Sus scrofa: one gene and its partners. The protein of the gene in region 1 interacts with the protein of each later gene in a biochemical or structural test. Links are inferred from orthologs where the notes say so. Each region holds a gene or a part of one and is shown in the gene's direction. Other genes may lie near its edges. The genes, in order: SMAD3, TFE3, ZFYVE9, TGFBR1, SMURF2, MECOM and NEDD4.

Region 1 (3,500 bases):
CAGCAGGTCCGTGCCAAAGCCGAATGTGAACACAAGTCTGTCCAGCCTTGAAGCTTGTGCTCCCTGAGCTGGTCAAACACCCAGGACAGTGATTTTCAACTGCGGCCTATTTTGCCCCCAGAAGACGTCTCTCAGTGTCTGGAGAAGTTTCTTACAGTCACAGCTGGGAGGGTGAGATGGATGTATGTTGCTGGCATCAAGTAGGCAGAGGCTTAGGATGCTGCTGTTGCACATCCCAGAGCACGCAGGATCCCCCCACCCAAGGAAAGAATTATCGTGCCCCAAATTTGCCAAGGCCGAGACCTGATCCAAGTGCCCTCACCCTCCAGCCAACTCTTCACAGCATGTTGAGTGCAGGGGTGTCACCGGTCCGCAGCCCTTCCCCTGTGAGCCAGCCTTCTCTTTGCTCTTAGATGGGATCATGGGCGTAGACCCCAGAAGGAGATCAGGGCCATTTTGCCCTGCAGGGGAACCCAGGCCCCTCCTGGAATAGCTTCTGCTTTATTCTTTCCTGGGCTTTTATACACTTTGTGAGGTCTGGTGAGCTGAGCTTAAGTTCTCATGGGTTCTCGCTCTAGGAAGTTGCCTGGCCGGCGGTGACACGGGTCTCGGGCCAGTGCTGACTTGGCATGGCGAGCTCTCCCATCCTCTCACCAGCTTCCAGAGACACGCCTGAGTAACCATATACGCAACTCTCTATGTATATGTAAGAGCCAGAGTACGTGGTGCAGGCCAGAGGGCTAAGACCAGAATGAGAGCAGCAGACTCTGATTCACCAACAAATAGGGGGATTCGAGGAGGCACAGGGGAAGGACGTGGCCCCGGGAGCAGGACAGGGCAGAGAAGAAGCTGGAAGGGCTGGGCTGGGTGCTGGGGAGCCCTGTCAGAGGGCCGTGGCACTAGTGCAAGTGAAGAATGACGAGGAGGGACCCTGAGGTGAGAAGTGACACAGAGACAGGCAGGGGTACCTGGGCAGGTGTGGAGCCCAGAACAACTGGAGGTGACAGGAAGGCTAGGGCGTCCCTGGAAAGGGAGGTGTGGCTTCGTGTGAGGGGAAACCTCTACTTCAGGAGTTCCCACCTCTTCTGAGAAACAGAACTGCCCCCTCCCAGGACGGCAGTTACTCTGAGGTGCCCTTGACTGAGACCACAGGATGACCTCTAGAAGTTCAGAGTTTCTTTTAGGTGAGTTTGTGTGTTAGCCTCCTGGTTGCTCAACATCTGGATACACTTGGAGGATAGTTTCTATAACAAGAGGCAGGAACCGGGTTTACTCTGCAGATGGTGCCTGGCGCCTGTGTGGTCTTGGACACCAAGCGCAGCGCAGACCCCAGGGCTGCAGCAGCCTTATCGTTTCACAGGCTTGGATGCTGCTGCTCGACAGGAGTTAGCTTTGGAGGGGCGGAGATCAGCATGGGTTACCTCGGGGACCTAGGAAGAGAGGCAGGTGGCGTGGCCTGCCCGCGATAGGCACACCCAGCCTGTCCAGTGTGTCTGTCCAGGGGCTTGGCCTAGCACCTCCCTGAAGACGGCTTCAACCTGAGGCCAGGCCAGGCGGGGCAGGGCCTTTGGAAGCTAAAGCTAAATGAAAAGTGCTTCTCCTGCCACCTGAGTATTTTGTCCCGCTGGCTGCTCCTGCAGGTTTTATCCAGTAAAAGGTACGAGGGTGGGGAGATTATAATGCCCTCTGAGAGGTGGGGAACAGTCTTCCAGAGCAGCCGGCAGACCCCGTCCAGGGGCACGGGGCCTGGGGCGCCACTGACCCAGGGGCTGGCCTGTCTCCTCAGACCTGCAGCCCGTCACCTACTGCGAGCCGGCCTTCTGGTGCTCCATCTCCTACTACGAGCTCAACCAGCGCGTCGGGGAGACATTCCACGCCTCGCAACCGTCCATGACCGTGGACGGCTTCACCGACCCCTCCAACTCGGAGCGCTTCTGCCTGGGGCTGCTCTCCAATGTCAACAGGAATGCGGCTGTGGAGCTGACACGGAGGCACATCGGTGAGGGGCGGTCGAGTTTCCCCCACGACACCCCAGATCCCCAGCCCAGCACAGACCCCTCCAGAATCCGCCACCACTGTGCTGGGCCTCCCCCACCTCCACCCCTCCCCCAAAAGCTCTCTGTCACCTTATTCAGGGGCCAGACAGGTAGAGTTCAGGTTGCTTGATCATTCTCACCCAGAGACAGATATCATCTTTGAAACTTTGAAAGCCACAAGGGAAGATGCTGGACTTTCTGGAAAAAGGCAACTGTGTAATTCTCCTTAATAAAAATACCCTTAAGGGGGAGTACCCGTTGTGGTTCAGTGGTTAACAAACCCGACTAGGATCCTTGAGGACTCAGGTTCAATCCCTGGCCTCACTCAGTGGATTAAGGATCTGGAGTTGCCGTGAGCTATGGTGTAGGTTGCAGACGCAGCTCGGATCTGGCGTGGCTGTGACTGTGGCATAGGCCAGTGGTTACAGCTCTGATTCGAGCCCCCTAGCCTGGGATGCAGAGGGTGCAGCCTTAAAAAGACCAAAAAAAAAAAAAAAAAGAAATACCCTTAAAGTACTGATAAGTGGGTAAGTAGATAGTCCTGGAAAGATGATCTTTGGTTTGTTCATTTCACACAGGATTATCCTAGGAACTTAGAAGAGGTAGAGAGGCAAGTATTGCCCACTGCTGGGTACCACTGCTGCTGCCACTCTGTCTTCCAGCACCCAGCGTGCGGTAAAGCCCACTTAGTTTAGGGAAGATTGAAGCCTTGCTGTGTTGCTTTATTTGCTCATAAAATCATGCTAAGAGTATTCCCAATGTTGTGATCCAGAGTCACCTACAAGAGCCATGGGGATGGTATGGAGATGGTTGGTATTCTGAAACATTGCTCCATGTGCCCAGGGTGGCCAAAGGGGCTCCAGGGCAAACTCGGGAGCCAGGTAGGGCAGTGGGCCACATGACCCAGAGCAGCCCTGCTCTTGTTTGTATTATATCTTGGGCCTTCAGAGATGATTCATTCGGAGAGAGGATTTTACAGTTAAGACAAGTTTGGAAGCCACAGGCCTGGGCCAGGGTGCTCATGTTCCAGGGAAGACCCTGACGGACAGGCAGGGAAGGGCAGAGGCCACACAGCAAGTGTGACACAGTCAGTGGCAAAGAGTCCCTGCTGCTGAGCCTTCATCCTTCCCAGACAGCCTCCCCATTTGTTTTACTTTTTAAAAGATCCTAGATGGCATACACAGGTGTTTACTCACTCACTTTACACTTTTCTCTATTTAAAATATGTCAGAAATTATCAAAACGAGAACAAATGTTTTTGTCCTTTGGGTCTGGGTCTTTCCACCTGTGCCTCTGCCTCCTGATCATTTTTTTGGGAGGGGGCGCACCCATGGCATATGGAAGTTCCCAGGCTAGGAGTCAAATCAGAGCTGTAGCCACTGGCCTGTCACCACAGCCATGCCAGATGTGAGCCGCATCTGACCTACACCACAGCTCACGGCAACACCAGATCCTTAGCTCACT
Region 2 (4,123 bases), on another chromosome or scaffold:
AATACAGAAAGGTACAAGGCAAATGGAAGTTCAGTGAAGTTCCCAGTGGTGCAACTGATGGGCATGGTCTTGGGATGCTGGGAAGAATTTAGGGAAGGTTGTTGGTCCTGGTGTTTTGTGAGTTGACTGTGCACCTGAAGGTGTGAGTGGGACCCTCCGCTGTGTGCAAGCCAACTTGCATACATTTAGCACACAGAGGAGCTCAATCAATGTTTGCTGTACCAGTGCACAAATGAGTGAATCAATTTTTTTATTTTTGTCTTTTTAGGGCCGCACCCGAGGCATATGGAGGTTCCCAGGCTAGGGGTCTAATTGGAGCTACAGCTGCCGGCCTCCGCCACAACCACAGCAACGCCAGATCCGGGGGGCGTCAGCGACCCACACCACGCTCACCGCAACACCGGATCCTTAACCCACTGAGCGAGGCCAGGGATCAAACCCGAAACCTCGTGGTTCCTAGTTGGATTCGTTTCCGCTGCGCCACGATGGGAACTCCTGAATCAATGAATTTTTGGAGAGGTTATTGTATACCAAAAAATCTGCTAGCACTATTCATAAATTACTTCTACTCCCTATAAAAATGTCGCCAGACAGGTATTAAGACCCCCATTTGACGGCCAAGAAAGCTGAGGCTCCGAGAGGGTAAGTCCCTTGTCCATATCCAAACCCAGTTCTGTATAACAACAGAAGTCATCCACCGAAGGGAGCGGATCTAATGTCCATCTTTCCACTCATTCAGCCATCCGTCAAGGATTTTACTAAGCACCTACAGTGTAGCACAACGACCTAGTACAACAACCGCTCTGAACAACAAAGAGCAGACGGAGCGCTTCCTGGAAGACCAGCTGGATCGCTGGACTGTAGGTACCGAGAGGGCAGGGTTTCTGGTGCGCAATTCAAGGGAACGTAGCTGCCTAGGCCTCAAGGCTTAGGCTTTGGCTTAGCAGGCACCGCTAGATCAAGGTTGGAGCGCGGTCTGGAGAGTGGATATTACGAATGCTGGCCGAGAGAGGGCGCGATTCCGCAGCTAGAAGCGTAGCCTGGAGAGCCTCCGCGCGCCGACCGGGCTTCAGTACGCAGGCGCAGAGGCCCTAAGGAGCGGCTTACTATCTTGCGGAGGGATAATTTGAGAAGAAGAGGCGTGACTCAATCAAATTACCTCTCATTGATTTGCCTCTCTCTGAGGGCGTGGCCTAGGTGCCCCCTTCTCGGAAAAAGGGCCTGCCGAATCTAGTCTTCTTTTGGCTTCGGAGGCGTAGCTTAGGGCGGGCCCTTGAAACATCCCTCGACGATTGGTCGTCTCACCCAGAGGGCGTGGCCCGGCGAGCTGTCTATCCATCATGCGGTCACTTCCTGTGGAGTTTCCCCAGCCCAGGGAGGAGGGGGAAGAGGACGAGGGGGAGGAAGGCGGTCGTCCGGGGTTAGGTTGGGGGGGGTGTCGGTCCGTTTAGGGCGGGGGATGACTCACGGCCCATCCCATCTCCCCGACGCCGCCCGCCGGCGCAGAGCTCGCTCCATGGCTTAGCGGAGGAGGCGGTGGCGAGCGGGGGAGGGGGACTCTTATTTTGTTGGGGGGACCGGGCCGAGGCCCGACCGGCCTGGCAGGGCTCGCCCGGGGCCGGGCGTCATGTCTCATGCGGCCGAGCCAGCTCGGGACGGCGTAGAGGCCAGCGCGGAGGGCCCTCGAGCCGTGTTCGTGCTGTTGGAGGAGCGCAGGCCGGCCGACTCGGCCCAGCTGCTCAGGTGCGGGGCCGCCTGGGACCGGTAGTGCTGACTGGGGTTCCCGGGGGCCTGATCTGGGGGCAGCGGGGGCCCAGGACTGTGATCGGAGGCCCTTGGCCTAGGCTTGGAGGACGTCGGGGCGCCCGACTTGGGGGGGGCACCTAAGGAATCTGGCGGTGGCCTGCTTGGACTGAGGCTTAAAGGAGTCGTGGAAGTACATTAAGAGAGGCCTTGTTCAGATTTGGGGGGCCCTTGACTGGGTCTAGAGGGACTGATTCTGTTGTGTCCACAAACTGGTCTAACGTCGCTGAACTTCAGGGACTGAGACTCTGATTAGAGGTTGAATTTGGGATTCTTGAGTCAGGTATGAGGAGAATGAATTTAAGGGGCCACTCTGTAAGTGAGGTACTGATTTTAAGGCTTCTTTTCCCCTCAGAGAGAGGGTCCTAGGAGTCAGAGGTGCTGTCTCAGGAGCTTGGTGACTCCCAGTGGCTGGTTGCTGGAGGCTGTGTTTGGGGAAACTTGACTCTGAAGGGATTTGGGGCTATCTCAGATATGCTGCGTGGGACCAGCCTTGGGAGTGTGTGCGAGTGCACAAGAAAAGCAACATTCATCAAGACTTGATCAGAATAATCCCTCCACTTGCCCACCCGTCCAGCTGGGTCAGATCCAAGGGATAGTGGGAAAGTCCTCTTCTCACACCCTCAACAGGGGCTTGAATGGGAGTCAGTCAGACAGACAGGCAATGGAGGTGGTGCTAACACTTAACTCATTGAAGGCCTCATCAGACCTTATTGGGGAACCCAGAGGAGGATCTTGTTCCTGAGGCCACCTGCCCTAGCCTCTCAGCCAGCCCTTTTCACCCCCTACACACACACACACACACACTCAGACACAGGTACTTTTTTTTTTTTTTATCTCGCCCTCCTTGTCTGTCTCTCAGGCCCTGGAGACAATCTTGAATCTGACCCCAGAGCTGGAATGAGCACCAATTGCACCATCCCTGGCTGGGTAGTTCTTCTCTGACCTCTCAGCCTCACTTCTATCAACAGGCCTGTAAGCCCCAGCCCTCTCAGTCTAGTGCCCACCGCTTCCAGGATGAGAGCATGGGAGGGGGGCTTTGCCTACTTTCTGGCTGGGATTGTGCCTAGCTCAGCAGCTCCCCGAGCTTCCTCTTCCCGACTTCCTGGGTGGTTTTAGGGCCCCATCTGTGGGTGAAGAAAGAAAGGAAGACAGATCCTTGGGGAGGGGCAAGAATTCTTGTCAAGTGAAGTCAACCACAGTCTGAGGATTCAAGATCTTCTGACAAAATTCAGGGATGCATGTCCATGTGCCCCCATGTTAGTGGCCCTCACACTTTAGGGTCTTGCAGCTGGCATGGAGGGTTGAGCCAGGAGCCTTTCCATCATAACAATTTACCATCATCTCCTACTGCTTTTATAACGACCTGGATCATGATAGTGGTGGGAATAGTTGAAAGGGAGGGGTGTACCTGGCTTATTATTTTGGGTGCTTGTGGGTGTTGGTATGGAAGGTGTGTTTGTGTTGCGATTTATCCAAAAAACCAGGAGAGCGCTGGGCAGGCTCCTCTGACCTAGAGAAGAATGTTCCTACAAAGTGATCCTCCACTCCAGTTCTCCCTCTTGTAAATCCAGATCGTTGAGCCTAGGGGAGTCTTTATTATTTCCATTTCTTTCTTTTTTTTTTTTTTTGGTTGGATGTTGGCATCCCTCGAACTCCGACTGGGGCGGGGTTGGTGGGGGGAGAGACTTATTTGCAAAGTAGTGGATCCTCTGTAAAGTGAATCAGCCTCCCCAGTTCACTTTGTGTCACAATGGACTGTTCTGCCAAGGGGTGCTCTCCTACTGCATCTGTGGACCCCCGTGGGCTCGCATTCCGCAGCCACGAAAGCAGTGGGGAGTGTGGGGGCTGGGAGAACTCTGAATGCAAAGTCAGGAGTCCCGCAAAGTGAATCGTCACTCCTAAATTCTTCATTTCTCTTCTCCTGAAACCCAGGTTGTACACGGGATTGTTAGAGCGGGGCGCTGGGACCCAGGCGCTCTTATTATTTTGAATCTTAAGGACCTGTGGGTAACACAGAGCAAAAGAGAGTGGGGAGGGGAGACGACATGGGGATTCATGGTGGTGGTTTCAGCAGAGTGGCCAAATGTGAGGGATACGCTCTGTTCTCCCTCCTGGTCTCATCCTGTCTCTTCTCTCGTCTCTTCTCTCCTCTCCTGTCTCTGTCTCTCGGGGCAATGACATCTCCATACAATCACTGACCAACACCCCTGCCTTCCCCCCACCCTCAGCCTGAATTCTTTGCTTCCGGAATCCGGGATTGTTGCTGACATCGAATTAGAAAACATCCTCGATCCTGACAGCTTCTACGAGCTCAAAA
Region 3 (3,500 bases), on another chromosome or scaffold:
GTCAGTGTTTTTTATTTTCTATATGATGGTGGTTGGAGTTCCCAGCTACCAGATACTTCATTATTATTCTCAATCCCTCCATCTCCAAGTCTTTGTTCACTAAACTCTTTCCATTGCTATTTTAGTGACTGGTGCCAGTTTCTTTGTGTTCAGTGGCGCTCTGAAGTCCTCGTCGGGATATCTTGCCAAGTCCAGCATTGTGGAAGGTAACGAATGAGTTACTGCATGTACCTTATACAGTCGTAATTATACAAGGGTCATGAATGGAAGCCTTGACACTTTGGCGTTAGACTTCTGACTCGTTTATTCAGTAGCATCTCACTCAACAGGTAGTTAAAACTACCACAAGGGTGCCTTCTCTCCAGAGAAGGAAATAAGTGGGAGAAATACCATGGGACACCAACATAAAAATTAAGAGATGGCTTTTCAGAGAAAGACAAAATACCATGTGATGTCACTTCTATCTGGAGTCTAATATGTGGCACAAATGAACCTTTCCATAAAAAAGAAAATCATGGACTTGGAGAATAGACTTGTGGCTGCCAAGGGGGAGGGAGAGGGAGTTGGGTGGATGGGGAGCTTGGGGTTAATATATGCAGACTATTGCCTTTGGAATGGATTAGCAATGAGATCCTGCTGTGTAGCACTGGGAACTATGTCTGGTCACTTATGGAGCATGATAATGTGAGAAAAAAGAATGTGTACATGCATGTGTGACTGGGTCACCTTGCTGAACAGTAGAAAATTAACAGAACACTGTAAACCAGCTATAATGGAAAAAAAATAAAAATCATTCTATAAAAACAACAAAAAAAAAAAGAAAGAAAAGAAAAAGAGAGAGAGAAAGAGATAGCTTTTCAGAGCTAAGGTACCCAAGGGGACGTAGTCTGAGTTCAAATATATCATTGGGTGCGAATCTGTAAATATGCAGATGAATTTCAGCCCCTGTTATCCATGAGAATGCTGCAGTCACCATTTGGTGTACAGAATGATGCATTTGCTGCTGGTTTGCTATAATTAGATAGGACACATATCCTGACAAAAGTTAGTTTAATGAAAATCAGTGAAAGGCTAATGGGCATACTATTTATTGTCTTTGTCAATTATTCTTCACTGTATTTTGGTCTGGTTACTCTTGGTGCATAACAAATTAAACCAAAATTTAATGGCTTAAAACAGCTATTTTACTGTGCTCACTGATTCTTCTGCATCTGCCCTTGACAGGGCAATATAGGGATGGCTTGACCCTGCTCAGTGATGTCTGGGGACTCAGTTGGAATGCCTGAAGGGTGGTTGTTACCTGATGGCTGAGAGCTAGAATTATCTTAAAGTTTGTTGACTTATGTATCTGGAGCCTGTCCTGGGATGATTTAAAGACCAAAAGTAGTCCCTGGAGTCCTTGCACACTGGACTCCTTAGCATGCAGCTTTGGGATGGTTGGACTTCTTACACGGTGGCTCGGGACTCCAAGCACAAGTGTCCAGCACAAGGTAGAAGCCTCGTTGCTTTTTATGACCCAAACTCAAAAGTCCTACAGTGTCACTTCCACCATACTCTAGTGTTGGAAGTGGTCAAAAGCCTGCTCAAGGGCTGAGGACTTACTCTTTCTCGATGGGGAAATGGGAAAGTAGCATTGTAGGAAAGCACGTGAGACAGGAGGTATTGTGGTCGTCTCCGGAAAATACAATCCGTACCCGCAGTGACAGGTTTTCATTTCCACGTGAGCTCACTCCAGCACCTGAAGAGCAGTTCTTCTGAGGGTGGATTTCATTGTGTTCATTGAAATACATAGATAATCTTGTGTATGTTAATAGAGATTGATTTTGATCTCCTTTTTTGGTAAACTTAATAAAGCTGAAAGCGAAGAACAAAGCATGCTAATATTTCACAACTAAATGTCACAACTGCAGAGCAGAACATGCTATTAAGAAATTGTTAGGAAATCTAGGTGTTAAGTAGTTGTTTGGTCTTAGCGACTAATTAATGCCTGTGTGATCAAGTATTGACTGCATTTGAAATCTATCCTGACAAGATGATTAAAAAGCACCCTTTAAATGTTGTCAAAGTGATGATTCAAATGGACACAGATCCTTACAAATGCAGAGTAATTATATTTTAAAATTATGTCTTCGGGTTAGGAATTTCTTAGCTCTTATGTTTCACTAAATGTGCCAGTAGAGCACTTGGTTGCCCATTTATGAAAATTTTAGTCATGCTCTTCAGAAATTATTTCACCTGACAAAATTTTGTATTAACAAAGCAGGTTAATTGCTCAGCATGTGACAACTTTCACCCTCAGTTTTCAGTGTTTGCCTTTGACTTGGGTATGTAGCAGCCCCTAACAGTTATAATCTGTTGGCTATATGATAGCCCAGGTAAAACGTATGTGTAGGTTGGTCTTACTGTTAGTCAGTACATGAATTTATTCTCCTTCCCAGTGATTTATTTAACAAACACTGGGCATTCACTGTATGCAATCATAGGACAGTGGGAGAGACAGAAATGCAAAGAAATAGATATGATTAGAGCATGATAAATGTCACCGTGGAAGCAGGAACAGAATGCTCTCTCTGAGTCCAGAAGAGGGATGTGACTGTGCGTAAGTTTTCCCTTTGAACAGTCTCACGAGAAGCTCTCAGTTGTGCCTGAAGTGAAATCCATAGGTAGGAGTTTTAAGCAGACTCCATCTTGGCCTTTGCGCTTTGTAACACGTTCAGCCAGTAAGAGGTTCAGCTCAAAGAGCAAAACGTCTTTGCATCTGTCAGCTTTAGAGGGCAGAGCAGAGTTTTACATTAACCCTAGAGGGATTTGCTCGATGCCAGGAAGGGGTTTTGTCTCCCCTCCCTGGCTGTGCCTTGCTCCCACCTGTGTTATCTCGGTGCTGCTTCTCAGACGGCGTCATGGTCCAGATCACTGCGGAGAACATGGATGCCTTGCGGCAGGCTCTGCGGGAGATGAAGGACTTCACCATCACCTGCGGCAAGGCGGATGCTGAGGACCCCCAGGAGCACATCCTCATCCAGTGGGTGGATGACGACAAGGACGTCAACAAGGGGTAAAGCGCTGAGCTTCCCCGCTGCGGCACTTCCTTCTGGGCCAGGCTCTGGGTTTTGGCCATCCTGATGTTTTATAACTTTACTGAAAGCCCTGCCTACAAGAAAGGACGGCTTTGTACAATTTGCACATGGAATTTGTATTTCTGGTTTCTTGGCTTAATTTCTTTTCTTCTTTTCTTTTCTTTTTTTTTTTTTTTTTTCCAGGGCTGCACTTGAAACATATGGAAGTTCCCAGGCTAGGGGTCGAACTGGAGCTACAGCTTTGGCCTATGCCACAGCCACGGCAACACCAAATCCTTAACCCACTGAACAAAGCTAGGGATTGAAGCTGCATCCTCATGGATACCCATTGGGCTCCTAACCTGTTGAGCCACAACGGGAATTCCTCTTGACTTAATTTCTAAAGCAGTTTTGGTACATGTTTTTGAAGGGAGGATGAAGGAA
Region 4 (4,251 bases), about 76 Mb from region 1:
TAGAAGTAGAATTTGAAGGGGGAAAAGAGGGAGTCCTAAATCTTAATATATCCTCTCACTAACTTTGGAAGATTGATACTATTTCCATTTTGTATAGATGAAGAAGTGGAGGCTCAGAAAGGTTAACTGAGTTAACTGAGTTGCTCAAGCCAGAATGGGAATAGTGCCAGTCTCAGATCTCAGCTTCAACACCCCTACCCTGCCTCTTTACTGCTCAGGAGGGAAGTCTTCACAGGCTTGTAAAATACTCACGGAGTATCGCTAGAGTAATTACAAATCAATACTAGAGGCTGGTTCTGAGTCCTGCTACCAAGGTTTATTTAATTCCAAGTTCAAATCACACAGAAAATAAAATTTTCTCCTTAAAAGGTTCTGTGGAAAAATGTTCTCTGTTCTGTGTAACAGCCTTCTCGGTTGTGTTTGTGTCTGAAGAGAGGACTAGTCTGACGGGAAGAATTACAAATCTGGAGCTCATTTTGGCGTCCCAGAGGGAAGGTGGGTGGAGCGTCTCACAGTAAATTAGGAATTCAGAATGAAAACGTAGCCGAGTTTATTTGGGTTTCTAGTGACACCTCAGAATTATTGTGCAGGCGTGTCAGAGGCAGCTCAAACTAATGACTGCTCCTCCTCCGCCCCGGGGGTGCTGCGTGCTAAGAACAGGAATCCCTCTCCTTTGGGCATAGGGATGAGGCTCTTCCCTTGCCCCGCAGAATCAGGAAGGGGGAAGGGGAAAGGAGTGTGGTTTGGAGCCCAGTCTGGGTCGGCTCTGAGTTCCGGAGAGGGGCGGGAGGCAGTTTGGGGGTGTGTCTGAGCTCAGGATCTGAGGTCTGAGGCCAGGATTTGGAGACTTTCTGGGCCTAGAATTTTGGGGTGGGTATCTAGGTTTTGGGTGGATGTGACAGCGGGAGGAAACAGTAGACTGGGTAATATACGAAAGGCACTGAAGCAGCATCGTGGGGCGGGGATTTTGAAAGTTGAGACGTGGATATGGGGAGGGGAAGTTGAAGCCTGCCTGATGGTACTAAGGATCTGGATGAATGTGGGGAATTGATGGTGCAGGGCTGTGAACTGGGGTCGGGCTTAGTACCACATCTTAGGTGAGAAGAAAAGAGGCTAGGAGAAAAAAGCGTCGAGCAGCCACAGCCTTTTTCCGAAAGCAACTCATACCCAGACACACCCATCGCTCAGCCCTTAGCTCTTAGCCCTTAGCCCTTGAAGGCGGGAGCCTCGGCAGCGTCTGGGCTAGACCCTGCCCCCACCCGGCCTCCACGGAACTCGGAGCTGCTCCTGCTGGGGCAGGGGTCTGGCTGCCCGGCCCCCCGGGAGTTTGGGGGCGTGACCAGTGAGCGGAAGCCTGCGGCTCTGGATTGGCTGCCCAGCGGGCCTGTGGGCGGTGCTCCTGGGTAGGTCCCGCTTGGCCGCTTGCAGACGGCGGGGAGGCGGGGCCGGCGGGAGCCCGACAGCCAATGGTCGCGCGGCCCCCAAGCAGTTACAAAGGGCCGGAGCGAGGCCGCCTCGGCGGCGGGGGAGGTGGGGCGAGGCGAAGCTTGTTGAGGCGAGGCGGCGGCCGGGCCGGGCCGGGCCACAGGCAGTGGCGGCGGGACCATGGAGGTGGCGGCCGGTGCTCGCGTTCCCGGCTGCTCCTCTTCGTGCTGGCGGCGACGGCCACGCTGGTCCCGGAGGCGACGGGTGAGCGGCGGCGCGGCGGAGCTGGCGGTGGCTGCGGGGCGCGCCGGCCGGGCCCGGCCTCTGGCTCGCTCCTTCTCTTTCTCAAACATGGCGCGGGGCCGGGGGCGCAGGTGGCGGCGCCCGGGCGGAGGCCGGACTTTAAGTGCCTGGCTGCCGCCACGCGAGCCGCGGGCGGGAGGCCGAGGCGGGGCGAGGGCGTGGGTTCTAGCGCGGGCGGACGTGCCCGGCAGCCCGCGGCCGCCCGAGCTGCAGACTCTGAGGGAGGTAGCGTCGGGCGGAGCCGTCCAGGGTTGGGGGCTGCCCTCTGGGAAGCGAGTGGGCGCAGGCCGAGGGCCCCAGGGTGCGAGGCTCTCCTGGACTTGGAGAGCTGGGGCTGCCCCGAGTCCCCGCTAGTCGCTGTGTGGCGTTGTCCCGGGCACCGCACCCAGAGCTGTTAGGTGCTTCAGGCTCCGGGGGCCCGGGCGGGGTTGGGGGCGGAGGGGGCTTCCAGGGCGGAGTGTGAGCTCCAAGTCTCCAGGGCCTCCTCCAGCAGTGGGAGGGCGCGACGTGTGACCCCCGAGTCAGCAGAGACCCTCGGGTCAGCAGGCCTCCCTGGCCTTCGGCGCCGGTCTGACCCAGCCGAGAGGGGCTGCTTCCTCATCCAGGGGTGGCTTTGGAATGGGAGGTGCTGCGAAGCTTTGTTTGAGGACAAGGAGGCACTGAGATGTGCGGAATGTTTCTTCTTTTCGTGCGTCTGGGGAAGTGTTGAAGTGAATCCACTAACCAGAAGGCTACAAATTGTTTCGTAGTAGAAACTTGAACGTTTGCTCACTCTGCGGGGTTTGGAATGTTTGAATGGAAATGACTGAGTTGATCACACGTTTTATTTCCTCGAAGGACATCTCTAGAGATGTTGCATTTCTTGAGTGACGGTAGTTTTCATCAGTTGTCTGTATAGCTGGTTTTCAAGGGAGAATGTTTGCTGCATTTTCCAAAATATAAATTGGGAAAGGGTATATGGTCATCATCTACCCCGTGGAGGGAGGAGTGAAAAACTTTGTTAGCATCCCAACTATAATACTAGAAACTGAAATATAGAGCCTTAGTATAAGCAACTAAAATAAGTTTCTCTTTCTGTAACTGAACAGCAAATGCTTTTGAAACAAAAAAACTCAGTACTTAGGGTGCCAGATATTACTATAAGCAGCTGTCTAAAGAAGACTTACTGTGGTATAGGTGCATAAGGTACACCAAAAGTGTACTATCTAATCCTCACATCCCTCAGGGCCCAGTGGCATTTGCCCCATTTTATAGATGAGAAAACTGAGGTGTGGAGAGGGTTAAGTATCAATTACTAAGAGCTGGAGTTAGGATTTGTACCAAGGGTTCAGTGTTTGCAAAACCTATACGTTTTAAGATACACACTTAACTGTCTGGCGAAGCCCATTTTTCTTTTTTAGTCCTCTAATGAATAATTGATTTTTATTATTCACTTTTAGATTTTGCCCTCATAATTAGAAAAACAGGCTGGCTTTTTTCTGGCTCCTAGTACATTTTTGGAGTCCTTTCACACCTGGCCTTCATTAGAGGAAACAGTGAATTTTTGACATTGGCCTGAGAAGGGGGTCAAGACAGGTGGGAGAATCAATATAGATATGCATCAAGCATAAAATTAACTCGAATAACACAGTTCACTCTTTTCCACCTAGCTTAGCACACAGAGTGTTCCTATATTCAAGTAACAATATTGGACTTCATTAATGTACAGAGCATGGCTTAGTCTGTGCCCTGGAGGAGTTAATAGACTACACTGGCATGCAGACAAGACAAAGCTGATCCAGGTGCTATCATCCTTAAGTCTAGACTATCTCAACTGGTCTGCCTGCCCTGGTAGGTTACGCTGATGTTTCCATTTATCCTTTCATACATTCTGAAGAAGCTCAGGTCTTTTTATTCATTTATTTTTAATTTTTTTTCCTTTTGCAATCATATCCATGGCATATCGAAGTTCCCAGGCAGTGGATCAAATCTGAACTGTAGCTGCAGCAATGCTGGATCCTTAACCCACTGTGCCAAAGTGGGAACTTCTCAGATGTTTTTTAAAATTTGTAATTTTAAACTCCTTTCTAAGAGTTTGTAGTTGTTCCCTCATTGTCCAGGTTATCAGTTTTGTATTTCTTTGCCCAGCTTCTCTCTCCAACATAAATTTCTCTAGGGAAATTGGTTCCTTGTCATTGGTGCACAGTTTAGTTACCAGTATGTCTGCTTATGTACCCATGTGAGTGTGCTCTTTCATAATGTTTTCTTTGAAAATATACCTGAAACTCAGCTCTTCTTTACATTAATGCTTCTTGAATGTTTCTTCCCCTCATTGGATTCAGCTGTCAGTTTAGTCCTGCCTCTTTTCCCTACCCCCAAATCCATTTGCTTTTCAGTATTTCTCTCGCTTATAGGCTGCTGCCAAGCTAATCTTCCTTAGCCATCCTCTCAAAGGGTTTACAGGATTTCCCATTTGTACTCAGTGCTTAGAGCAGTACTTGAGGCTTATGATTAGGGCCATCACTTAGTACCCAGAGATCTCAC
Region 5 (3,500 bases), on another chromosome or scaffold:
TGCTAATGAGGTTAGGATGGTACTGCTGCCAGAAGAGTGCTTGTGATCTCCCCCGTGGACCGGGCAGTCCACTGAGACTTTCTCTGAAAACTCGTTGCAACCCTCTGGGGACTGTTTGTAGGCCCTGCAGGCCAGGACTTTTCTCCTTCTCTCTTCTTCAGTACATGTTATCCCCTCTGCTTTACATTGTCAGGAACAATCTTGAGATTTTAATGGTGTGTATTCTGCTGTTTTCCTTTGCTTTCATTGCCATACTTTTTAACTTTGGTAAAGGAATGTTTGTAAGTATGTGTATGTATGCGTGTGTATCGTAAATTGTCCTTAGAATGTTTCAATACAGAAGCTGTAATGTTTATGCTATGTGCATCATCAAGTTTTTTTTTTTCAAGGAGTGAGAATTCACTTTATATAAATGCGGCAGAAACACCATAGCTTCTGAATTGAAACATTTCAAGGACTATCATGATAAATTCCACTTCCCCTGTTCTAAATCCAACCTAAATTAATTTGGGTTTCCACCAAGCCCCATAATTCTTATTTAATTAGCATTACTTGTTTTCACCATAGACTTACTTTCCTTCTGTGACCATTTTACCTACAAATGGATAGTTTGGATTTTTAGAACTGATCATTTGTACATCATACTTGAGGCTTGATAGTTTCTGTGGAATGCTTATGATTTGCTTTTAACTAGATTTTGAATGCTTGTTGGGAAAACTTTTTAATTTTCTGCTGATGGAAACTAAATGCTGTAATTACACGTGTAGGTCAAATAAGTAGTTTAGTTGTTTGTTTATTTCTTAACCTCACTGCTCTCAGGGTTTGGGCAGACAAATGGGATGTGGCAATGAACTCTGCTTTTTCTGATCTTTGGTAGTAGAACACAAAAGTAATTGAGCTTTGCTTTTATGCATGTTTTAAAGACTTAGCAAAACAAAACAAAAATTTGGATTTTATTTTAAAAAACGCATACATAAAAAGCGTAAGACACATCAGGTGAGAAGAAAAGGACTTCACTTTTTTCTTTTTAATTTCTAGAGTTTTTAAGTATTAAATGGTAGTGAATTGATTTCAGCTCAACCAAATGATAGAACTTTGAAATGGTTTCCTTTAACATCTTGTTAATGGTGTTTCACTGCATTTCCTAGGAAAAGTTACTCTGTTTAATCCATAATATCAGAATATATTACTTAAGTACCTTTCCTAGCTGAGGAATGACGGGAATTGAGACTAGAACAATACCTCCTTAAGTATTGGACTAGTAATTTTATTTCAGTTTCACCAAGATGAATAACAAATTATCTGATTCTTTGAAAAGTCTAAGTGATTTAATAAGCTTAAGGTGATAGTACTGTTTACTGTCAGGTTGTAAAAACACTGGTATATACTTGGAACCCAGAAGTGGTAAGCAGCATACCCAGAAAACACAGGCTTGCCCTTGTGTTCCCACCTTTCAGTTTCTCACCACTTACACTTTTATCATGGTATGCTTCAGGGTTTACACAGATACTGGAAATGGATAGTGGAATTTTCTTACTAAAACAATACCAACAGTAAAATGTAACCTTGTCCAAAAGTGAGAATAAATTATTATGTTGTATCTCTAAGTCTGCCATGATAGGAACAGACCAGAATGATACAGATCACATGATTGTTTTGAAATAAAACCGTATTCTTCCCTTCAGCTTACATTTATCATGGATTACAAATCTGACTTGCAATTAAAAGTAGCAGATCACTGGACTGCAGCATCTAATGAACAGTTGGTACTTCTGGATATTATCCTTGTATTCTGTGATGTTAAAATGTCATAAGGAGTTCCTGTTGTGGCTCAGCAGGTTAAGAACCGACTAGGATGCATGAGGATGAGGGTTCAATCCTGGCCTTGCTCAGTGGGTTAAGGATTCAGGGTTGCTGCAATTTCAGGCATAGGTTGCAAATGTGGCTTGAATCTGGCGTTGGCTGTGGCTGTGGTGTAGGCTGGCAGCTGCAGCTCCAATTCAACCCCTCGCCTGGGAACCTCCATATGCCTTGGGTGCAACCCTAAAAAGACCAAAAAAAAAAAAAAAAAAGTCATAAAATTACCCCAAATTGAGTGAGAAGTGACTGCAGTATGACAAAAGAAGAGTTTTCATTTGCTTTTTGGACATGGTAGACTTTTCTAATGTGACCTTGTATAACTAGTTAGTGCTTTATTTTCTTGTATTAAAAAATTCTGTTAACATGATTAATTAATAGCATATCTTAGTAAAAGTACATTCATTAACAAAACAAATTCCTTTGACATATCTTGTTTTTTAGGGAGTGGTTATATCTCTTGTCACATGAAATGTTGAATCCTTACTACGGCCTCTTCCAGTATTCAAGAGATGATATCTATACATTGCAGATCAATCCTGATTCTGCAGTTAATCCGGTATGATTGTGGTTATGATGATATGGATTACCTTGTGAACTACAGTGTTTTTCATCTTTAAGTGTCAGTGAAGTTTATGAAATAGGTTTACTGTCCTGTCCAAGTCACGTCCTTGGACTAGGCAAGTCCACTGTAAGAAATTTTCTCAAGTAAAAATTTTCTGATGTGCAGTAGTTTGGGCACAGGGGTGTTTACTACATCACTGTTTATAGTAGCCCTTAATTGGAGGTAATATTGTTGTCCATAAATGGAGATTGATTAAATTACAGCATGAAGCAGAATATGATAGTAATAGTTAAGAGCATCAAATCTGGAATTAGAAAGACATGAGATCATATCCTGGCCCCATTGCTAACTCGCTTTGTGACCGTAGGCAGATTCACCTGATTGAAGTCTCAGTTTTATTATTGCTAATAATTACATGGTTCGTACCTAGGAGAAGGTTGCGACAGTTAAATGAGACCCTGCACATTAAGTATTTCGCACATCAGCAACCCTATTACATATTATAAAGCATTCAACAAGAGTTAGCAGCTGTTATTAATTTGTTGTTTTCATATTATTTTTATTACCTTCTCATACAAGTACATGTTATACAGCCACTGAAGTGATGTTGTGGGATAATAGTTAATGACATATAAAGATGGTATTTGTAATATATTAAGTGAAAAGAAGATTATAAAATAGTATGATGCAGTTTTGGTAAACACGTATATGTGTAAACATTGAAAGGTTCTACACTACATATTGATGGAGCTTATCTCTGAGTGTTGGTCTCTGGGTTTTTTTAAATTTTTTATTTTATATTGGAGTATAGTTGGTTTACAATGTTGTATTTTATTTTATTATTTATTTATTTTTTTTGTCTTTTTGCCTTTTTCTTGGGCCACTTCCTATGGCATATGGTGATTCCCAGGCTGGGGGTGGAATTGGAGCTGTAGCCACCGGCCTACTCCAGAGCCACAGCAATGCTGGATCCAAGCCGTGTCTGCGACCCACACCACAGCTCATGACAACGCTGCATCCTTAACCCACTGAGCAAGGGCAGGGATCGAACCCGCAACCTCATAGTTCCCAGTCGGAT
Region 6 (4,061 bases), on another chromosome or scaffold:
TCCCCCTCCCCCTTTTTCCCTCTTTAGTCCAGAGGTGATGATAGAGTTCTCTGGTGCCCATGTGTACCGGCACCAGAACCCTCTCTTTTAAAGTTGTTTTTACTCCTGCTCTGTGTAATTCCTTCCTTTGCTTTCCTCTGCCACCCCACTTCCCTTCCTCACAATTCAGCATTACACATCTGTCTCCCTTGGGACCTGTAGTTTGGTTCTCCAGGGACCTGTATCTTAGAGCCAAATGCCCCTGGAATTACACAGAGAAAGAGAAGTGGTGGGCATCCTTGCCAAGGTGAATCTTTTGAACTTTAATTTCCTGTAATAAAGATATTTGTGAGCCACTACTCTTTGGAATTGAACCTTGCTATTTGCTCACTCACATCCCCAGTCCTAGTTTTGACAATAAATGACAACAGGTTACAACTGGGGATTCTCAGTTATCTTCCTTATTCTTCTCTGCCTTTGCCAAATTCATGCCCAGGACCTGCTATTCTTTTCTCTCCTTTAACTTGAACATCAAGGATGTACTGTTGCAGCACAGAGACAAAAAGATTGTAATTTTCTTTTATGGTGTTTGGCAGGATTTGCAACAGATATTAATGGGGACATAAATAGCTCACAGAGGGTATTGAACAAAACTGTTTAATGCAAGGAGGTTGTACCAAGAGAAAATCCATAGTAGTTGGGATTGATTCATACCTTGAACACAGCTAGTTCCTTTTAAGAGGTCCCCATTTCTGCATGCCCACTTCATTGGTAAATCCTGTAATTAAAGCAAATTTCAACAATGTATTTTTTAAGAGGTAGGGGGAAATCCCTCCCACACCTCCTTCCTATAACCCGGGAGGTCGTGGGTTTAAGCGAGTGAGTGAAATGGCAGGCAGGCTGAACTGCTGCAGGAGGCTACTCCGCAGCGGTATGGGAGGCCGGAAGGTGACAGCCGACCTCAGAGAAGACAGGAGGTCTTGGTTGTCAAACGCCCAAGCCGTCTCGGACCTGGGAGCCAAAGGTCATTATCACTACTTGGTAGGAAAAGACCAACTGATATGTCCCAAGGATGGCAGAAAGAATTGGCATTATACCTAAAATCAAGAAAGAAACAGTTATTTATTCAGCTTTCAACTCTGAAAGCAGAAGCCGAAATAGCTTCAGCAGCAGTAGCAGCGGCAGCAGATTCCCGATGTTCAGGATGATTCTCACTTTCTCCTGGATCGTTCGCCCGAGGAGTCCGGTCCTTCTAGTTCTTTAGTGTGGGAAAGATTTTTAAAAGCCCTCTCCCCTCCCCCCACTTCTTGCTTTCCCCCAAGGACAGAATAGAAAATTTCCTTCAATTTATGGTGGGAAAAAATAATAGTAATGGTACAGGCTTATGGGTGATTCCAATACGAAATCAATCCTCTGCCCGAGTCTTCGCGTTCCTTTTTGGGGGAGGGGGGGGCTAGATGTCTGCTCCCTTCTGACTCCCTGAGCTCGCTCCCCGCCCCCCGTCGCCCTCCCCGTGGCTCCCTTTCTCCGCCTCCTCAGCGATTGCCATCTGACAAGATCTCCAAATCAAAGTGATAAATCGCTCCAAACTTTTTTTGGCGGCGCTGAGATGTTGGAGGGGCGTCTAGCGCGCATGTGCGAAGGTGTCCAAACTGACAATGCTGGAGAGATAGCGAGTGTGGATTGAGAGAAAGGGAGAGAGGGAGGGAGAGAGAGTGAAAGAGGGGAAGACAGAGAGTGAGTGTGTAAGTGTGTGTGTGTGTGTGTGTGCGTGTGTGTGTGTGTGAGAGAGAGAGAGAGAGAGAGAGAGAGAGAGAGAGACGAGAGGGAGGGAGCGAGAGAGCAAAAGAAGGAAAAGATCCAAGAAAAAAAAACCCCAACCACACACCAGCGGCTGCAGGACTGGGCACAGCATGAGATCCAAAGGCAGGGCAAGGAAACTGGCCACAAGTAGGTGCAATATCCCTTTTCTATTGGCTTTCCCCCTCTCTGCCATCTTGCATATCTGTCTCCAGCGCTCCGGGAGGGAGCGCGGGGCTTCCTCTCGTGTCGGGGCCCCGGGTGGAGGGCAGGCGCAGCGCAGACCCTGCAACCTGCCGGTCCCAGCCTCCACGCCCGGCCGCCCGCGCTCTGGCTCCTTGTTTGGGCGCCAGAGGAGCCGGGGCAGCCCTCAAGCCCGCAGCACTGACCAGCTGTGGCAACCCCGGGGTGGGGGTGGGGGTGGGGGCAGCAAAGACCTTGTGGGAGGGAGGAGAGAGCGCAAGAGCGAGCGGGAAGGGGTGGGGTGGGGGTGGGGGAGAGGAGATGCAAGAGTCTCCCCCTCCCCTCCTCTTCCCCCCAGGCGGAGGAGAGTTGCCTCTGGCCAACCAGCTAGTCCCGGGTGTGGGAGGGGGAGCAGCGGGGTGGGGGGGGGGCGGCGCGGGCTGGGGACTGGAGCCTTTTCGCGCCTCGGTTTGTGTTCGGGGTCTGGGGTGGGTGGCAGGCTCGGAGGGAGCCACAGTGGCGGCGGCGGCGGCGGCGGCGGGCAGCAGTGGTGGAGTTGGGAAAAGTTGCGAGGCGGCCGCTGGAAGTTGCGCGGGCTGGCGGGCTGCGCCGAGCGGCGGTTGCGGTAGTGGGCGCTGTGCGCTCGGCCGTGCTCTCTGGCGTGCGCGGCGCGGCGGGAGGGCTGGGGTGGGGAGTGGGGGAGACGAGGGTGGAGGCTGTAGTCGCTGTGTGTGTGTGTGTGTGTGTGTGTGTGTGTGTGTGTGTGTGTTTTGGGGGGGGGCGCGGGCAGAGCAGAGCTACCGGCTCTGCAAAGCCGCGGGCAGGTGGGGAGAGAAGAGGCCCTGGGAGCGCCTGCTGAACGGGGAGTAGAGGGCGCGTAGCCAGAGGCGACGGCGGCCGAGGAGAAGGGGGCCGAAACGGCGCGCTTCGGCCCTATAGTTTCAGGCTGGCTGGGCGCCGAGTGACCCGCAGGGGGCGGGCTGCGGGCTCCCTGGGCAGCCGAGAGGGTACGGCGAAGCCTGCTGACCTGCTTCTGGTTGCAGCCAGGGTCTCGAGTCACTAACCCTCCCCGGCGCCCCCTGCCTGCCGGCGTGGAGCGGCCTAGGTCACGCGGGACGAGGGCGATTGAGTTCGGGGCGGGGGTGGCGGGACTCCCATCCCCCACTTTGCTCGCTTCAATGTTGGGTAACTTCGCACTGCGATGTCCGCGGGGCCGGTACTGACGGGGAAGGCAAGAGTCTCAGCCTGGACTGTAGGCGACGGGACTGGGTTTGTCCAAATGCATCTACCTCGAATCTAAGGGTACTCAGAGGTGCCGAGACCCGGGGCAATCCTGAGCAGTCGGAAGCTCTCCTCCGCAAGGTGTCAGCATGCGGGCCTGGAGCAGCCTCAGAAAGGGACCGGCTGCCGTTTGTTCTCCTCGCAGAAAACAGAACTCTCTAATTGTTTTGCTTTTGGACCAGAGAAAGGAGAGATGGGGTGGGTGGGATGCTTCTTCCCAGTGAACTCCCCAGTCTTCCGCACTCCTACATATTAAAACCAAGTATGCCTCACTCCTTCCAGCCTCTGGTGTCTCCGCCGCAGCCGCGCGGGAGGACAGCGGCACCTTGGCGGGCTTGGTTTCTTTGGCGGTGAGACTCCGAGGTCTAGCCCTGTGAGATGCTGTCATCGTAAGGCGTCTTTCCAGTGCTTCGCCCAGTCCTCACCCAAGCACTCCCTCACTCCCAAGTACTTTTCCTTTCACTCTGGCCTCAAGGATCAACCTGTATATAGTGCTCTTGGGTCATCAGTCCATTTATTTCTCTTTTGGATATTGTTCATTTCGCTTAGCTGAGACAGTGCCAAAGTGCGCCAGTGGTACTCCTGTTTTTCCTGTTTGCTTTTAAATGAGGCCGATGTCTTTATTTTCATTTGAGGAAGAATACATGTACATACGCTTGGAAGTCTGGGGGCTTCAATTCCAACTGACGATTAGGCGCGCGCGCGCGTGCGTGTGTGTGTGTGTGTGTGTGTTTGGGGGGTGGGGCGGGGGTCGGAGAGACAATTTCAAACTCTGCCTAAGTTGTGAAATGAAAGCCGAACGCTTTGCGCGCCTCATT
Region 7 (4,277 bases), about 49 Mb from region 1:
TATATGGTGATGAGCATAGATAAACTTAAAGGAGAATGAATTTCTAGTCATCTGGAAAATGCTTTCAATATAAGTGATATTTGCTTCAAGAAAGAGTAGGCTTATATTCCTTTTTTGTCAACCAGTTTTAAGAACCTGGGGGTTATAACTGTCATAGTTTGGTGATGGTGGTGTTGGTGTTGATGGCCATGGGACATTGAAGAATAATATGCCTTTAAATGAATTCTATCCACTAATGCGAAAGTTAGGGCTTCTTTGCCACAACCCAAGAGCTGCATCTGCACACATCCAGCCTCTGAAGCTTTAGGAGATGCTTATATTCCATTTTCCAGGTGGCGATGTTCTGCTTCTCAGGCTGAGTGGTTGTATTAGTCAAGGTTTTCCAAAGAAACAGAACCAATAGGACACACACCCACACACCTGAGAAAGGGGGAGGGAGCGAGGTAATGAGGCGAGTGTTGATTTATTTTAAGGAATTGGTTTACGTGATAATGGAAGATGGAAAGTCTGAAGAGGCCCTGCTGGCAGGTTGGATATTCAGGCAAGGGTTAATGCATCTGAAATCTGCAGGGCAGCAGGCTGGAAACTCAGGCAAGGCTTCTGTGATACAGCCTTTAGGCAGAATTGCTGCCTTGGGAAGCCTGTCTTTGCGCATAAGGCCTTTAACTGATTGGATGAAGTCCATCACATTATGGAGGGCATTCTGCTTTATTCAGAATTTACTGATTTAAAAGTTAATCATACCTTAACAATAGCTTCACAGCAACATCTAGTTAGGTGTTTGGACTAATAACTGGGCAAAATAGCTAAGCCAAGTCAACATATCCAGTCTAATCTGAAGACATTATCCGTTTCACTCCAGAATATGAAATTCTATAGGATTTGCACAGATTCCTCCCAGATGAAGCCTGCTACCACTCTCCAGCTCTCCTCTCCTTGAGGTTAGGGTTGATGCTCCACTTTTGGCATCTGTTTGCCCCAGGGGCTACATTTTACCCCGTGTTTCCCAGGTTCTGTTATAAAAGTGGCACAGATCCTGTGCAGTCCCAGACCAGAGCCAGTAATGCAAACCATTCAGCCTCACTAGCATTTAAACTCAGACTAGAGTGCTAGGAAGTGCATTTGATTCTCTTACCTTTGTTTCCCTTTGGCTAAAGCCCTCTTTGCAAAATTTTCGAGCATCCTTCTTTTTGTCCAGCTGCAGTATTTTTGATACCTCTTTAGAAGTATTAGCTTGGGGAGTTCCCATTTTGGCTCAGTGGGTTAAGAACCTGACATAGTGTCCGTTAGGATGTGGGTTTCGATCCCTGGCCTCGCTCAGTGGGTTAAGGGTCCAGCATTGCCGCAAGCTGCAGCATAGGTCACAGATGTGGCTTGGATTTGGTATTGCCGTGTCTGTGGCATAGGCCCGCAGTTGCAGCTTGGATTTGACCCCTAACCCAGGAATTTCCATATGCTAGTTGCAGCTGTTAATTAAAAAAAAAAAAAAAAAAAAAAAAAGGAAATAGAAGCTGGATTGGCTACATCCACCATATATCCAACCTCCTCTCTGGTGTTACCTACTGTTTACTTTGTACCCAGCATGAGTTCAGGTGGATCAGAGGAAATAAGAAATGTTTAGTTGTTGTCCTCACCCTCTGGAAGCTTAAAATCTAGTTAGGTGAAACTGATACTTAACAGTGAAGCTTACCAAAGAGAAAACATTTATCATTATTTATTCATTATTTTATAGTAACAACTAAAGGGGATTTCCTTAATAACTGGAAGTTTTAAGCCACAGGCACTAGCAGTTAGATCTCATTGATTAGCTTATTAGAAGTGATTCATCTTTTGAGTCCTCAAATCCCTAACTTAATTCAAGAAGGAAAGCTGGAATTATTTGAAGGCATAGTGAAAAGATTAGGACTCTCCCTTCTGGTAAAAAAAAGAAAGATTTTAAGAGAATATGTACTGAAGCCTGTAATATCATAAAGGAAATAGGTTATGCAAAACCAAAATAGCATAATAATTTTATTATTAAATTTATAATTATACACATTCTAAAACAGTACTATCTCATTCTAGTCAGAAATAGAATTTAGTAAATTCCATATTTCTATTTTGTCCTGCCTTAATTGATTAAAAACAGTGTTTAGAAAATTGTGATTGAGAACAGATCTATCTTGAGTTTTCTTTTTTAAACAAAGTGTGAGTATATGTTTTACATATTTGCTTTCACTTAGGGAAAAAAAACTTACTTAGAAAAATACAACTTGGGTGTAGTACCATGTGGTGTAAACAACTGAACTATTTTGCTTTTTACTTTCCTATGAATGAGCCAGTATATATTTATTACTGGAGTTCCAGCTGTAAAATTCAGGTAAGGGGTTTAAATATACCCTAGAGCATTATTTAAAAATAAATTTGTTTCTTTCAAACAGAATACCAACCTTGGTCTATGACATTTAGGGGAGAAATTAAAATATTAAACTTTTATTACCTAGTAAACTGAAAATAAAGTAAAGGTTAAATAAATACGAAGCAGAAAAAAATACATATACAAAATTGCAACCTCTGAAAGGACAGACAGTCTACTGTTCTCTCCTGTGGGAGCTTTATCAGCAGTAGTAAGTAATTCTGCCTCTAGGGCAGTGCTAGTGCTCAAAAATGTAAACAAGTATGTACTTTGTTTATATAAAGAAATATGCGACATGGTTTGTACTTCTTTATAGGTATCAAACAACTAAATGAATTGTTTCAGTGCACCAGTAGGGGCCAGCAAAGAGCTCCTAGAGTTTTTCGCAACAGAATTGGCATTGAGATATGTTTATTTGATGTGTTAAATCCTTTTTAGACTTCTTTACTTACCACAACACTCTCTTAAGTGAATGAATTGCAGAGACAGTGGAATAAAATATCTTGTGTGCTCAAACTATATTGGGGTATAGTTTTTCTGTCTAATCTGCATATATTTTTAATGGAATGTTTTCTTAGCCTATTTCTTGGCAGAGTTTTAATAGTCCAAATATAAATGGCATCATTTAAAGACTGTACTGCTTGGCTGAAAAGGCCTTAAAATTACAGGAGAAAATGCTTGGTGACAGCTTCTCTCAAAATTTTTTTTTTCTCAGATGTATGCTCAATTTTTGCAATAGATTACTAGGCTAATTTTGTATTTCGATCCTTAAGCTTTCACTTTTTATAAGTACATCGTGTTTTAGAAGCTAAAATATGTATCTATTTGATTTAATGCTAAATTTTTAATTCACCTCAGTTTTGATATTTCCCAGTTTATACAACTGTTTGAACTTACTCATTTAAAAAAAATTAACAGTCTATATTCCTTTCTACATTTACTAAGTTGACTAGATTCCAGTATGACCACTATTTGGAAATTCAATCCTTGATTTGATACTCAATTACATGGGGTTTCATTCCTACCAACTTCCTGTAATTCTATCCCTATGGGTAAAAATATTAGTGGTCAAACTGCTGGAGAAAGTATAGGCACCGTGATTCACATAGTTAAATGTTCATTTAGTAGAGCTGGAGTGAAAAATACTGTTTCAACTTGAAATGCTAGAAGATTGTTGTTCTTGTGTTACTCATTCATGCAAATTGGAGAAGGTATAATTGAAACAAGGTTGGCAGTGTTTGAGGCAGTGTGCTGCAGCTGAGCTCAGCTTAAAGGTCGCTGGAAATCAAGTGCTTTGTAAGTGAAGGCATTTTGACTACAAGCGATTCAAGACATTTTGGAAACGTCAGTCGTCAGTCTCGGGAATGGGCCGTCTTTTTCTTTCTACGATATCTGGTCTCTAAGGTTTTACTCAGGATAAAGACCACTACTTACGAGCTCTTTTAGGCACCACAAATGATTTTTTCTTTCGATGCAGTGCAGCTGCTTCTAGCCTGTCTACCGACAGAGATCTTTGTTATGACTTTCAGCCCTTAACATGTTTGGAAATGAGAACAAATGGCACAAAGCTTACGATTGCACTTTGCAGCCAGAAGAAGCAATACTTACCCTTTGTCAGAAACCTCTGGAGATGATTTGGATAGCAGTATTCACATGTGCTTCACAAGACCAACACGGATTTCAACCTCTAACGTGGTTCAAATGAAGCTGACTCCCAGACAAACTGCACTAGCTCCGTTAATAAAGGAAAACGTTAAGTCTCAGGAAAGATCATCTGTTCCTTCACCTGAAAATGTTAATAAAAAGAGCAGCTGTCTGCAGATTTCACTCCAGCCAACAAGGTACAGTGGATGTCTTCAGTCTAGCCATGTCTTAGCTGGCA

Evidence for each region.
Region 2: the proteins of SMAD3 (region 1) and TFE3 form a complex in vitro, tested with the Homo sapiens proteins (2 studies listed by BioGRID). The link is inferred for Sus scrofa from reciprocal best matches to the Homo sapiens genes SMAD3 and TFE3.
Region 3: the proteins of SMAD3 (region 1) and ZFYVE9 form a complex in vitro, tested with the Homo sapiens proteins (2 studies listed by BioGRID and IntAct, with this or other methods). The link is inferred for Sus scrofa from reciprocal best matches to the Homo sapiens genes SMAD3 and ZFYVE9.
Region 4: the proteins of SMAD3 (region 1) and TGFBR1 form a complex in vitro, tested with the Homo sapiens proteins (2 studies listed by BioGRID, with this or other methods). The link is inferred for Sus scrofa from reciprocal best matches to the Homo sapiens genes SMAD3 and TGFBR1.
Region 5: the proteins of SMAD3 (region 1) and SMURF2 form a complex in vitro, tested with the Homo sapiens proteins (2 studies listed by BioGRID and IntAct, with this or other methods). The link is inferred for Sus scrofa from reciprocal best matches to the Homo sapiens genes SMAD3 and SMURF2.
Region 6: the proteins of SMAD3 (region 1) and MECOM form a complex in vitro, tested with the Homo sapiens proteins (2 studies listed by BioGRID). The link is inferred for Sus scrofa from reciprocal best matches to the Homo sapiens genes SMAD3 and MECOM.
Region 7: the proteins of SMAD3 (region 1) and NEDD4 interact in a test that uses a peptide from one of them, tested with the Homo sapiens proteins (3 studies listed by BioGRID and IntAct, with this or other methods). The link is inferred for Sus scrofa from reciprocal best matches to the Homo sapiens genes SMAD3 and NEDD4.

The regions. Positions count from the first base shown.
Region 1 is NC_010443.5:165,109,957-165,113,456, forward strand, and holds part of SMAD3 (mothers against decapentaplegic homolog 3), read left to right. Parts: intron 1-1,786; coding exon 1,787-1,999; intron 2,000-3,500. UniProt on the Homo sapiens protein: Receptor-regulated SMAD (R-SMAD) that is an intracellular signal transducer and transcriptional modulator activated by TGF-beta (transforming growth factor) and activin type 1 receptor kinases.
Region 2 is NC_010461.5:43,113,578-43,117,700, reverse strand, and holds the start of TFE3 (transcription factor E3), read left to right. Parts: upstream 1-1,323; 5' UTR 1,324-1,627; coding exon 1,628-1,743; intron 1,744-4,034; coding exon 4,035-4,123. UniProt on the Homo sapiens protein: Transcription factor that acts as a master regulator of lysosomal biogenesis and immune response.
Region 3 is NC_010448.4:159,882,476-159,885,975, reverse strand, and holds part of ZFYVE9 (zinc finger FYVE domain-containing protein 9), read left to right. Parts: intron 1-125; coding exon 126-206; intron 207-2,892; coding exon 2,893-3,055; intron 3,056-3,500. UniProt on the Homo sapiens protein: Early endosomal protein that functions to recruit SMAD2/SMAD3 to intracellular membranes and to the TGF-beta receptor.
Region 4 is NC_010443.5:240,858,635-240,862,885, forward strand, and holds the start of TGFBR1 (TGF-beta receptor type-1), read left to right. Parts: upstream 1-1,451; 5' UTR 1,452-1,466; coding exon 1,467-1,689; intron 1,690-4,251. UniProt on the Homo sapiens protein: Transmembrane serine/threonine kinase forming with the TGF-beta type II serine/threonine kinase receptor, TGFBR2, the non-promiscuous receptor for the TGF-beta cytokines TGFB1, TGFB2 and TGFB3.
Region 5 is NC_010454.4:14,473,183-14,476,682, forward strand, and holds part of SMURF2 (E3 ubiquitin-protein ligase SMURF2), read left to right. Parts: intron 1-2,301; coding exon 2,302-2,416; intron 2,417-3,500. UniProt on the Homo sapiens protein: E3 ubiquitin-protein ligase which accepts ubiquitin from an E2 ubiquitin-conjugating enzyme in the form of a thioester and then directly transfers the ubiquitin to targeted substrates.
Region 6 is NC_010455.5:108,333,335-108,337,395, reverse strand, and holds the start of MECOM (MDS1 and EVI1 complex locus protein EVI1), read left to right. Parts: upstream 1-1,261; 5' UTR 1,262-1,892; coding exon 1,893-1,929; exon of another isoform or gene 1,930-1,932; intron 1,933-4,061.
Region 7 is NC_010443.5:115,988,730-115,993,006, forward strand, and holds the start of NEDD4 (E3 ubiquitin-protein ligase NEDD4), read left to right. Parts: upstream 1-1,477; 5' UTR 1,478-3,952; coding exon 3,953-4,277. UniProt on the Homo sapiens protein: E3 ubiquitin-protein ligase which accepts ubiquitin from an E2 ubiquitin-conjugating enzyme in the form of a thioester and then directly transfers the ubiquitin to targeted substrates. Specifically ubiquitinates 'Lys-63' in target proteins.